Linked DNA regions of Bombyx mori. The main gene of each other region encodes a partner of the protein of the gene in region 2 in a complex. Links are inferred from orthologs where the notes say so. Each region holds a gene or a part of one and is shown on either strand. Other genes may lie near its edges.

The links. Proteins that work in one complex are often made in the same cells at the same time.
Region 1: dynein axonemal assembly factor 10 (region 2) and prefoldin beta subunit share a complex: the UniProt entries of both Homo sapiens proteins name them as parts of the PAQosome complex. The link is inferred for Bombyx mori from reciprocal best matches to the Homo sapiens genes DNAAF10 and PFDN6.
Region 3: dynein axonemal assembly factor 10 (region 2) and prefoldin subunit 2 share a complex: the UniProt entries of both Homo sapiens proteins name them as parts of the PAQosome complex. The link is inferred for Bombyx mori from reciprocal best matches to the Homo sapiens genes DNAAF10 and PFDN2.

The regions. Positions count from the first base shown.
Region 1 is NC_085112.1:4,987,609-4,990,649, reverse strand, and holds prefoldin beta subunit, read right to left. Parts: upstream 1,638-3,041; 5' UTR 1,507-1,637; coding exon 1,138-1,506; 3' UTR 649-1,137; downstream 1-648. UniProt on the Homo sapiens protein: Binds specifically to cytosolic chaperonin (c-CPN) and transfers target proteins to it. Binds to nascent polypeptide chain and promotes folding in an environment in which there are many competing pathways for nonnative proteins.
Region 2 is NC_085131.1:9,119,445-9,123,205, reverse strand, and holds the start of dynein axonemal assembly factor 10, read left to right. Parts: upstream 1-1,074; 5' UTR 1,075-1,176; coding exon 1,177-1,460; intron 1,461-1,542; coding exon 1,543-1,670; intron 1,671-2,018; coding exon 2,019-2,236; intron 2,237-2,998; coding exon 2,999-3,121; intron 3,122-3,761. UniProt on the Homo sapiens protein: Key assembly factor specifically required for the stability of axonemal dynein heavy chains in cytoplasm.
Region 3 is NC_085129.1:193,949-197,709, reverse strand, and holds the start of prefoldin subunit 2, read right to left. Parts: upstream 2,346-3,761; 5' UTR 1,990-2,345; coding exon 1,856-1,989; intron 1,774-1,855; coding exon 1,476-1,773; 3' UTR 1-1,475. UniProt on the Homo sapiens protein: Binds specifically to cytosolic chaperonin (c-CPN) and transfers target proteins to it. Binds to nascent polypeptide chain and promotes folding in an environment in which there are many competing pathways for nonnative proteins.

The DNA of each region.
Region 1 (3,041 bases), on a different chromosome or scaffold from region 2:
ATCTACAAGTACTGTTCCAGCTCCTTCAAGAAGTCAGGCATCTTCAGGTTGATCAGGTAAACACAAGAAGCTCACCATAAGTAGCTCTCTGCATTCAAAAAGGCTAGTCGCAGAGAACTATGGATGATATCCTAATTCAGTAATGAACAGTGACTCAAGAAATGTAGACTGCATAAAAAGAAAAGGTATTTTTTTTAGAAAGTTACAAACTTTATTAATACTAAAGTTACAGTTTCTTGGGATTCATTAGGAACAATATAATTCTTAAATTGGGTACAAAAGCTTATAAATGTGTATTTTTTTTATAGTGACACATTGTAACTTCAATGCCTTTAGCTTTATGTAGCTTAATGCAGGAGAATGAGTATCTTGAACGTGATTAAGTTGCACTATGTTGAGATTCAAGACACAATTTTTTTTATGCCTGTATTCTTTATGAGCAGTATTAATTATTGAATAAATCATTGGAAACATAATTAGAATAAGTTTATTAAATTACATTTGTGCACTTTCTCCACTGCCAGCTTAAATTATGCCGACCATTTGTATACAAATGCAATACATAACATTTGTAATAGGTATTTAAAAACAAAAAATTACCCAATTTTTTTTAGATTGTCATATGGTTTTAGGTTAATATACAAAACTACTGGTAATAGAAGCGAACAATTATTCTAAGATGAATCTGGTTTCAAAACTAATGGTACTCATTATACCGTCAATTACCTTGCAAACTTTCAGCTTATACACACAAAAATAAATATGTACAAGTAACAAAATATTTTAGTTTTGAAAATAAATAATAAGTAAATAATAGGCAGCAGTTTGGCTGTGCTCCTGGCATATCTGATGTCTATGAGTGATGGTGACATCAGGAGGGCCACAAACATCTGCCTGCAATGGCAGTAAAATAAAAACTTACTTTCAGTAAGATTTTTTATTTTTATATTGAGTTAACAAAAGGAAGAGGTAAGTTTAGTGTAATGCCACACAGCAGTTTTTTCATGATTATTGCATAGCTAAACATACATTAAATTATTAATGTGTAATATTTTTATTTGTAATAGTAGTTCTCTAAACATACAAGTGAGTCATAATAGAAGAATAGAAATATTTTACTTTTAATTCACACATTTTTCAAGCTTTTAGTTTTAGTTTGCCAAGATCATTTCTAAGTTTATTTAAGTTTTCTTGCAGTGCTTCTTGTTTGTTTTCTAAAGCACATATGTGATCATCTGTTCTTTTGATTTCTTTGCTAATGTACTCCATACGTTTGGAGACGTTTTGTCTGGCTTCTTCCAAATCTTGCTTCACCAATACGGGTCCGATGAGTTTGTATACCTCTGAATCTTTTCTTAAGAGTTTTAGTTCCTCTTTGACTGCTTTATTTTCATTTAACTGGCTGTCTAATTGTTGTTTCTGAGTGACCGCTTTCTTTATGTCTTTTTGAACACCTTGAAATAATTCGAGCTGTTTTTGAAACTTTTTTTGTATTTCTTCCGCCATTGTGTTTCAGTCAAGGTATGATTTGATAGAAAATAAACAGTTTAATACAGAAATCTTTTCCGTTTTTTTTCACCTGCTCAAAAATTTTAGTTGAGGTTATGTCTCAAATATATTAAGTGTATAATCTATGGGTTATGTGTGTATTCTCTATGGTTTTGTCATTTGTCTGACATTGATTTTGAAATTAACCATAGATAATACACAAAAAATTTCAAGTGTCACTACGTACCGGTAAAATGGGGCGATTAGGGACAAATTCCAACTTTATGACCAATTTTAAGGTAGATGTTGATGTATATAATGCTATATCAGGATCGAAATGATTGAGTCTTGGGGGCATCTTTGTTGTCCAATTTAAAACTATGCAACTAGCATTCCAGTTTAAGCAAAAAAAGCAAAAATAGGTGTAATCCCTATTTACCCGAAAATTGCGGTTAATTGGGACGAAATGAGAAATTTGCTAGGGCTGCCACTACTTGGTTTTAATTTATTTATTTATTTAGTTGCACCAACAAAGTGATCATCAACTTGATTACATTTATTTACTTATGATTAATTTATATTTACTTGAGAAATGATCCGCGACAGATTTGTCCTGTAAGTTGTGATACAATTAAAAAAAATTTATTTCATCACTTAAAATTAGTTCAGCGTAATCGGACAACTCCGAATGAACATTGACGGAGACCATGCTACCGTGGACATTATTGTAGTCCCAAAGGAGAGTAAGCTTTCTTATAAACGGTTTATATTTTTTCGTTCTTGGTAAGTACTTAGGGGCTGATATTTTTATCTGGGTTAAGAGATTAGGTGTGTTGGTTATTCCATGGATTAATCAGATGAATACCCCCACTCTGAACAAATATTAAATATTTTACTATGTATTACTTAGACATTTTTGTCCACCTTGACATTTCATTGTTCTTGTTAGATGTCTGTGCAAAATCGACTTACTTATATTAAATTGCTTAGCTATTTCAACTAAAGACTTATTCCCAATTTCAAAGGCTTCTATTGCTGTTTTTAATATTAAGGGATCATATCTCTTTTAAGGCTTTGCACTCTTTAATACGTACACGCGAGGCATTATCTAAAAATAGAAAACAGTACGTAACTGATAATATAAGTATTTACCAAACAATAAAATAACACATTGATAATTTTGAATAAAAGTTCTAGACAAAAACATCATGAATAAACAAGATTTTTACCAACAAATTTAAAAAATATTGTTATAACTACATAGACAACCCTACAAACCTGTACCTATTTATACTCAGCTCGTTTCCATTTCACGTATTCTCATCCCAATTGACCCCTTTTTCGTTGTTATTTGTACCTAAGACGTCCCCAATATCCCCAAAAACAACAGATTTTTACATGTATTTTTATTTTATCAAATACATTAAAACCAATAACAACTGAGACTTACCTTTAATATATATGATGGCTCAAACACTAAATAACGTGTATAAATCACAGTCGTCTTCTATTAATATCAAATAAATAAAAGAGAGCAAAGTTTCTAGCACCAA
Region 2 (3,761 bases):
ACATGGGATAATCAAAGTTGAGAATTTGATTGAATGGTCTGTTCCAAAGACAAAAAGGGCCCATAATGCCAAGTCTATTGTAACAAAAAATCGAACTGAAGGACGGAAAGTGATTTAAAAAAGAAGAAAGATTTTTCAGAGGTTTTAATCAGGTTAAAATTTGAAATGATAATTCAAGTATTAACCTTTTAGTGTCTCTAAAACTTATGAAGGGTAGAAAGAAGTAAGGAGCACCATCTTGAGTAGGGGAGAAGCTGAAAAATGTTAGAAGATTACTGGTGGTAGTACGTCTTATGAGTCCGAACGGGTAGGTACCACCATCCTGCCTATTTTTGCCGTGAAATAGTAATGCGTTTCGGTTTGAAGGGTGGGGCAGCTGCTGTATTGTTCCTTACAACTCATGTCTCGAGGTGGGTGGCGGCATTTACGTTGTAGATCTACGGGCTGCCGTTACCACTTAACGCCAAGTGGACTGTGAGTTAGTCCCCCATCAAGGCTTTATAAAAAAGAATAACTAAATTAGCGCTAGTCTAGGAAATGGAAATGATAGGAACATGGGAGGCTTAAGCAGAGTGAAGTGTGCTGGGTTGAAAATTTAATATTTTTTGAGACTTGCGTAAAATATTATATGGACTTTTTGGCGGGAACGCAAGAAGTGAAATTGTGTGATTTGTTTTATTTTGTCTATTTAGTGTTTCTTCAGGTTTAAATGTGTAATAACGGTGGTTTATTAACAGTTTAATATATGTGAAAGTGGACAAATCTGGGAAAATGAAACAAAGCCGCTGGACGTAACTTCTCGGGATCCTCCAACAAGTCCGCTGAAAAAATCTCAGTAAATGAATGACCACCACCATTTTACTGATATTTCATCCCACATCATCTCATTTCAATTCATTTAATTTCATCCCAGTTGATTAATGTCTCAAATTACCTAATCATCTTCATTCACTCCATAATATTTATAATTTTTCATAAAAATAAGAATACTAATTAAAATAAGACATGACCTAAAAGTCTTAGTTACCAAGTCATAAAATCTTTTAAAAAAAGCAATATTATGTGGCCTATGATGCTGTTGCCTAGCAACCAAAAACCAATGCTGTCTGTCACGTTTGTTTTCGCTAAAGATTCGCATAAACCTTTGAATATTTCTTTTATATCTATTTTTAAGTCATGGAAGAATTGAATACCCCCCAAATAATTACCCATATTGAAAATAACTTAAACCATTCACTATTTGATTGCAAGTGGATACCATGTTCGGCTAAATTTATAGTACTTGGTTCTTTACCGAAAGGCTCGGGTACCATTGAAATATTTGAAATAAACGCCGGAGAAATTAAGAAAATAAAAGAAATTGAGAGGTCTAACTCGTTTAAATGTGGAACGTTTGGAGCAAGTAGCGACATTGAGAGACGATTTGCTACTGGAGACTTTAGAGGCACTTTGGAAGTATGGTTTGTAACAAAATCATAAAATCCATACTTTTTCCGGATAATCATAAAAATCGAATGTTAATAAATAATTTATTTTCTATAGGGACTTAGAAAAAGGTTCCCAAGTGTACATAACAAAAGAACATTCAGATATAATTAACTCAATAGATGGGATGGGAGGTAACACAACCAACTGTGGAGCTCCTGAAATTGTAACTGGCAGTAGAGATGGTAAGGTTTCATGCCAAGGATTATCCTGTTACATTAAAGGGTACTCGTGTGGTGATGAGTAGATTTTCTAAATCAATATTACAATACCTTCTAAGATTTGACTACCATTAGCCATGTTGACATACTGGGATAGTTTTTTTTTTATCCTCATCAGATTTTGATTTTGTCCAAAATATTTACAAATTTTATACACAAACCTTTCTCACACTTCTATTTATATCTTTGAAAATAGTATCAAAATTTGTTAAGTCATTTAGAATAAGTAATCAGAGAAACAGACATTGGGTTTAAAACTCTTTAGGAAAAATAAAAATGGTAGTGATAACATAATAATTACTGAAATTATAGGAACAGTAAAGGTTTGGGATCCAAGGCAAAGAGGTAAACCTGTTGCAAACATGCAACCAATGCAAGGTGAGACTAGAAGGGATTGCTGGGCTGTTGGCTTCGGAAACTCATTTAATGATTCTGAAAGGATTGTAGTTGCTGGTTATGACAATGGAGATCTTAAAATGTTTGATTTGAGAACAATGTCACTTAGGTGGGAATGTAATTTGAAGAATGGAGTAAGTATGTAATTTCAAGACTAAATTTAAGATTTTTATGTCACAACTCGCAATAGGCATATTATACAACATGCATGATAAAAAGTTGTTACTGAAACCTGTTAACATCAGTAAATACAGGGTCATTACTAGTTGTATAGTAGCAGTAGTTATTCACTTTAATCTTGTCCTAAGAAAGATGTGTTATATTTTTCAAAAAGTCACAGTAGTGGGGGAGGGAGTTCATTTTAATTTTAATGTGAGTAATTATTTAAGAAAACATCAACACAATTGAAGTAAATAAATTCAGTTAATCTCGAAATTTTTATCATTATCTCAACTGGTACTCTGATGAACAATGACTTGTTATTATCTGTGTGTGTTTTAATTCTTTGTAGTTTATGATATATCCTAAATTAGCTTGATAGGTTGTTTTGCAATAGAGATATATATTTATATAACTGGTGGTAGGACCTCATGTGAGTCCGCACAGGTAGGTACCACTACCCCGCCTATTTCTGACGTGAAGCAGTAATGCGTTTCGGCTTGAAGGGTGGGGCAGCCGTTGTAACTATACAGAGACCTTAGAACTTATATCTCAAGGTGGGTGGCGCATTTGCATTATAAATGTCTATGGGCTCCAGTAACCACTTAACACCAGGTGGCCTGTGAGCTCATCCACCCACGTAAGCAATAAAAAAAAAAATATATATATATATATATATTAAATTATATCTAAGTCAAAATTAATAGATAAATATTGAAGAATTTTTGTTTGTTTAGGTATGTTCCTTAGAATTCGATCGTAAAGATATTCCAATGAATAAATTAGTGGCAACCACACTTGAAGGGAAGTTTCATGTTTTTGATGTGAGGACTCAAAATCCAACTAAAGGATTTGCTCAGGTAACCTAATGTTTTACTGACCAGCAAGGAATGTCTTTGAGAAATAAATATGAAGATTGCATGCAATGCAGAGCATTGTTAAATTTGAATTTTCCTACCCCTGCCTTATCTATTTTTACCACCATTAAATCACATGTTCTGGTGTATACTATAGTACAGCTGTTGTTCCAATTTCTTTGAAAGTTTATCTACTCTATGTATTTGGCAGAATTCTTCACATTGCAGTGTCTGTTATCTCAGCAATAGATGGGCTGTATCTCTATTCATCAGAATCCATGGACCTTAATATATTAAAAGCACAATCTATAGTTACATCAGTTAATTTAAAAGTCGTCGTGGCCTAAAGGATAAGACGTCCGGTGCATTCGTATCGAGCGATGCACCGGTGTTCGAATCTCGCAGGCGGGTACCAATTTTTCTAATGAAATACGTACTCAACAAATGTTCACGATTGACTTCCACGGTGAAGGAATAACATCGTGCTATAAAAATCAAACCCGCAAAATTATAATTTGCGTAATTACTGGTGGTAGGACCTCTTGTGAGTCCGCACGGGTAGGTACCACCGCCCCGCCTATTTCTGCCGTGAAGCAGTAATGCGTTTCGGTTTGAAGGGTGGGGCAGCCGTTGTGACTAATAC
Region 3 (3,761 bases), on a different chromosome or scaffold from region 2:
TTTTTTGTTTAGTTATTCTTTTCTATATTATAAAATAAAGTTTCTTGTTATTCCTGGCTATTTTTATTTTAAGTAACAATAAATTTTAAGGTTCCAAAAATTAAAACCAAATATGAATCTAGCCATGATCATGTTTTATAATCATATTAAAATTCACCTGATGAAACAGAAAAAGTTGTCACTGTTTTATTGTGACATCCCACCTGGTATTAAAATTTTATCAGACCTCTGACAACATTATGAATGTCACCATCCTGCTAAGAGTATAGGAAGTTTTAATTATATTGTATAGTTGTCCATAGAAATAAGGTAATAATCTAACCATGCTCACTTAGAGTATGGTGCAAGTAATAAATTATCCAAACTTATTAACTTTTCAGTTGAGACTTTTTACACAAAGTTATTACCTGATTGCCATAGTTCATCTCTGAACTCGGACATGCGTATAGTATATCATTCAAATTGTTGGCAGTAAGTTGGCTCTACCCCTGGCAATGGTGAGCCGTATGCTCGTCTGGGCAAGGGCAAATGAAAAATTCAGGCATTCAGGCTTGTTAACTGGCCAAACACTTCAAAATAGCAGTAAACCTTAAAGCTATGTACACAGTTAAACAATACTCTCAAGGTTTCAGTGATATTTCTACTTATTACAGTTGCCTACCAATCACATTGACTCTGCATAGGTGAGCTTCAGATGCTGTGACAGCATTGGGAATATACATATAGCACAATGTGGAAAACATTTTACTATTTAAATTATTTTTCTCTCATATATTACTCTAATGTTTAGAGTTTAAACATTCAAAGCTTATTGTTTTTGATTAGAAATATATCACTGTCACCTTAGACATTGTTAAAGAATGGTGAGGACAACAACAAAAAACTCCATATTGTCTTGACTTCTTAAATGAAGCTATTCTCATAATTGTTGGGACAAAGAGACTGCTTCTCTGCATTTGTATTACATATTCCATGAAAAGTGTTGAAAAGTTGTTCAAGATCTATTTTATTATTAAAGTTTATTATCATACTACTTTCCACTAGACAAGGGTTCATATTCTACTGCCTGAAAAAACTGTTTATTGAGTTTAATTCCACATTATTTGAGCACATTCAGCTGGGGAATTAATTATTCTCTGTGGAGTTTTCGCTGTAGTATTCCTTTCTTTAAATATGTGGTTAAGTGTCTTGGAGTATTGTCACACTAAAATGATTTATTTATCTGGTTGAGATGGATATTCAGTTAGATTTTCCTTTTCTTGTCATCATATTCATAAAGTACTGCTTCATAATACCATGTTTGCCCCCCTTGCCCCTAAACATCAGCCAGAACTAATTTATCAAGCCACACCGTAATAGTATTGTTAATAATAAAAAGTTTCCCAGTACTACCTCACACTGCTTTAGGCAAATGTAGGACTAGTCTCACTGTCAATACACTGCGACAGCTATATGAAATGAAAGGATCAGTATAGTTAACCGCTAGCAACTAGCACATTAGACTTGGTAGAGGTGGATTGCTCTGGAGGTGGTTCAGGCATGGTGCGATCAGCACGTTGGATGCGAATATCATGTTCCTCAATGTATTTATTGATCTCCTCTCCCTTCTGAGTGAGTTGGTCTTCTAGGGACTGGATGGCCTTAGGTAGCTGTTCATAATTGCTGATCAGCTCTGGCAACACCTCAGCTACGGTGCGTTCGACAAGCACGCCCCCAAACATCCGGAAACACTTACGGGTCAACTCCACTCCCCGCAAAGTCTCAATTACGATCCTGTAGACATAATTTACTATGTATTTTGTATTTTTTTAAGCAGTAGATTGATATGCAATAGATTTATTCCACATTTACTCACTTATGTTCGTTTAACTCCATTTGTAATTCTGATATTTTACTCCCTAATTGACGTTGTTCATTACGAAGAGTTTGGAAACCAGCAAAGATTTCCTCATTCGTTTTTTTTCCTACTTTTGATGTATTTTTAGCCATTTTACTCTAGGTAGGTAGGGGAAATGGAAATCAAAATTTTAGGATTTTTTTTTATATAGTTTTAAAAAAAGAGTAATCAATTTAACTCTCTTTGAAAAGTAAAAATAATCACGGTTTACTGAAAGTTTTAAAAATAAAAGAACATGTAAATGTATTTTAAATTAACAAAAACTCAAATTAACTAGTTTTTATCGAATACACGGATTAGGTTATGTACATTAATGTACATGTCAGTTTTTTTTTTGCGAACGCTGGCTACTTTACCTTTTAGGCAATTTTTTTTTTTATTACTTCACAAGAAAATCTTTACCCTCAAATAAATTGTGACCATAGTTTGTGAAACACTTGAGATAAGTTTGAGTCATGACAACCAACTCCTGAAAAGCATCTATTATATTTAAAAAGCATTTTTGGGACGTATTTTGATAATATCCTAATCCTTAGATTAAAAGCATTAAAGTCTTTGTCTATTACTAATAAAATTTAAACTACTAAGTTCTAATAGTACAATAGTTGGGGAAAAAGTTTCTTCGCATTTTTTAAGAAAATTCACATTTTTTAATATTGTTTATTTACATTTAACTAAAGTATGTAGGTACCATTTTGTTCGATAACTTTTTGCCATCTTGTAGGTAGGGACATGATCCCATTGCTATGGGGCTTCCGATCAAAATACCGCGACAATTGGTTTTGGCAGTCCTCTCGTGATGTTAACCTGACAATGCCTAAAAAATTCTGAAGAGATCGAAACAGGTGGAAGTCTGAAGGTGCAAGGTTAGGACTATAGGTAGGAACATTTTATCCGTAATACCCAGCTTAGATAAGAAAAAAAAAATGTATGTGTGACGTGTGTGCAAGTCACACACGGTAGAAGTGAAACCTTTAAAAAATAAAAATTATCGCAAGGGTCAACCACTCCATAGTGCAATGGAGCAGCCTCACCCTGGGGGAAACCGCCTGCATGATCACCGTATCCCTACGCCAAGTAAGTATGATTAGATTATTTTTTTCCTACCTATGCTGATAGCCTTGAGAGGCTATATCAGTGTCGCCTTAACTAGTAGGTGAGCTCACGGGGCTCAAGCCGGATGATGTTGTTAACACAAACCCTAGCAAGAGCCGTGCTTCGCAGAATCTACCACCTGATCGGAAACGCGACCCATTGAGAAGAACCGACGAGAAACTCAGTGGGCTGTGTCTGAGGGTTACTTTATTCGTCGAGCCCTTCGTCGCAAGCGACGGGTTCGACGAGAACGATGACGGGTTCGACGAGAACGATGACCGGTGCTTGAGGTACTTAAAAGCACTGTTAGTGGATCGGGAGGATCCGAAATGACGTGTTTGGGGCGACGTCGACAGCTTTCCATTCTCACCGCAGGATCGGGATTGTAGTTACCGACGGCCACGATGAGAGGGTTCTCGTGTCGTGCCGCTTTATCGAAGTGGCGCATTGACGCCGACTGAAGATACTTACTGATGGACTCTAAGTCCAGGTCGTCGTGGAGCTCCGACGGCTATCCTGCAAAAACGGGATTGAATAACTTGGAATGATTTTAAGCTAGTGCGGGCCGCGTGAGCGAACACTGCGCTTGCATAGGTCATATCAGGGCGTACGCAAGTTTTGTAGAGTGTCACCCTATTTCTAAGGGATAATTTACTTCGCCTGCATATCATCGGATAGAGAGTGTAGAGACATCCTAGTATGAAGGCGGCATGATCACGTACCGTCTTCAAGTGGGGGCGGAATGTCATTTCTCTGTCGAGGGTGACGT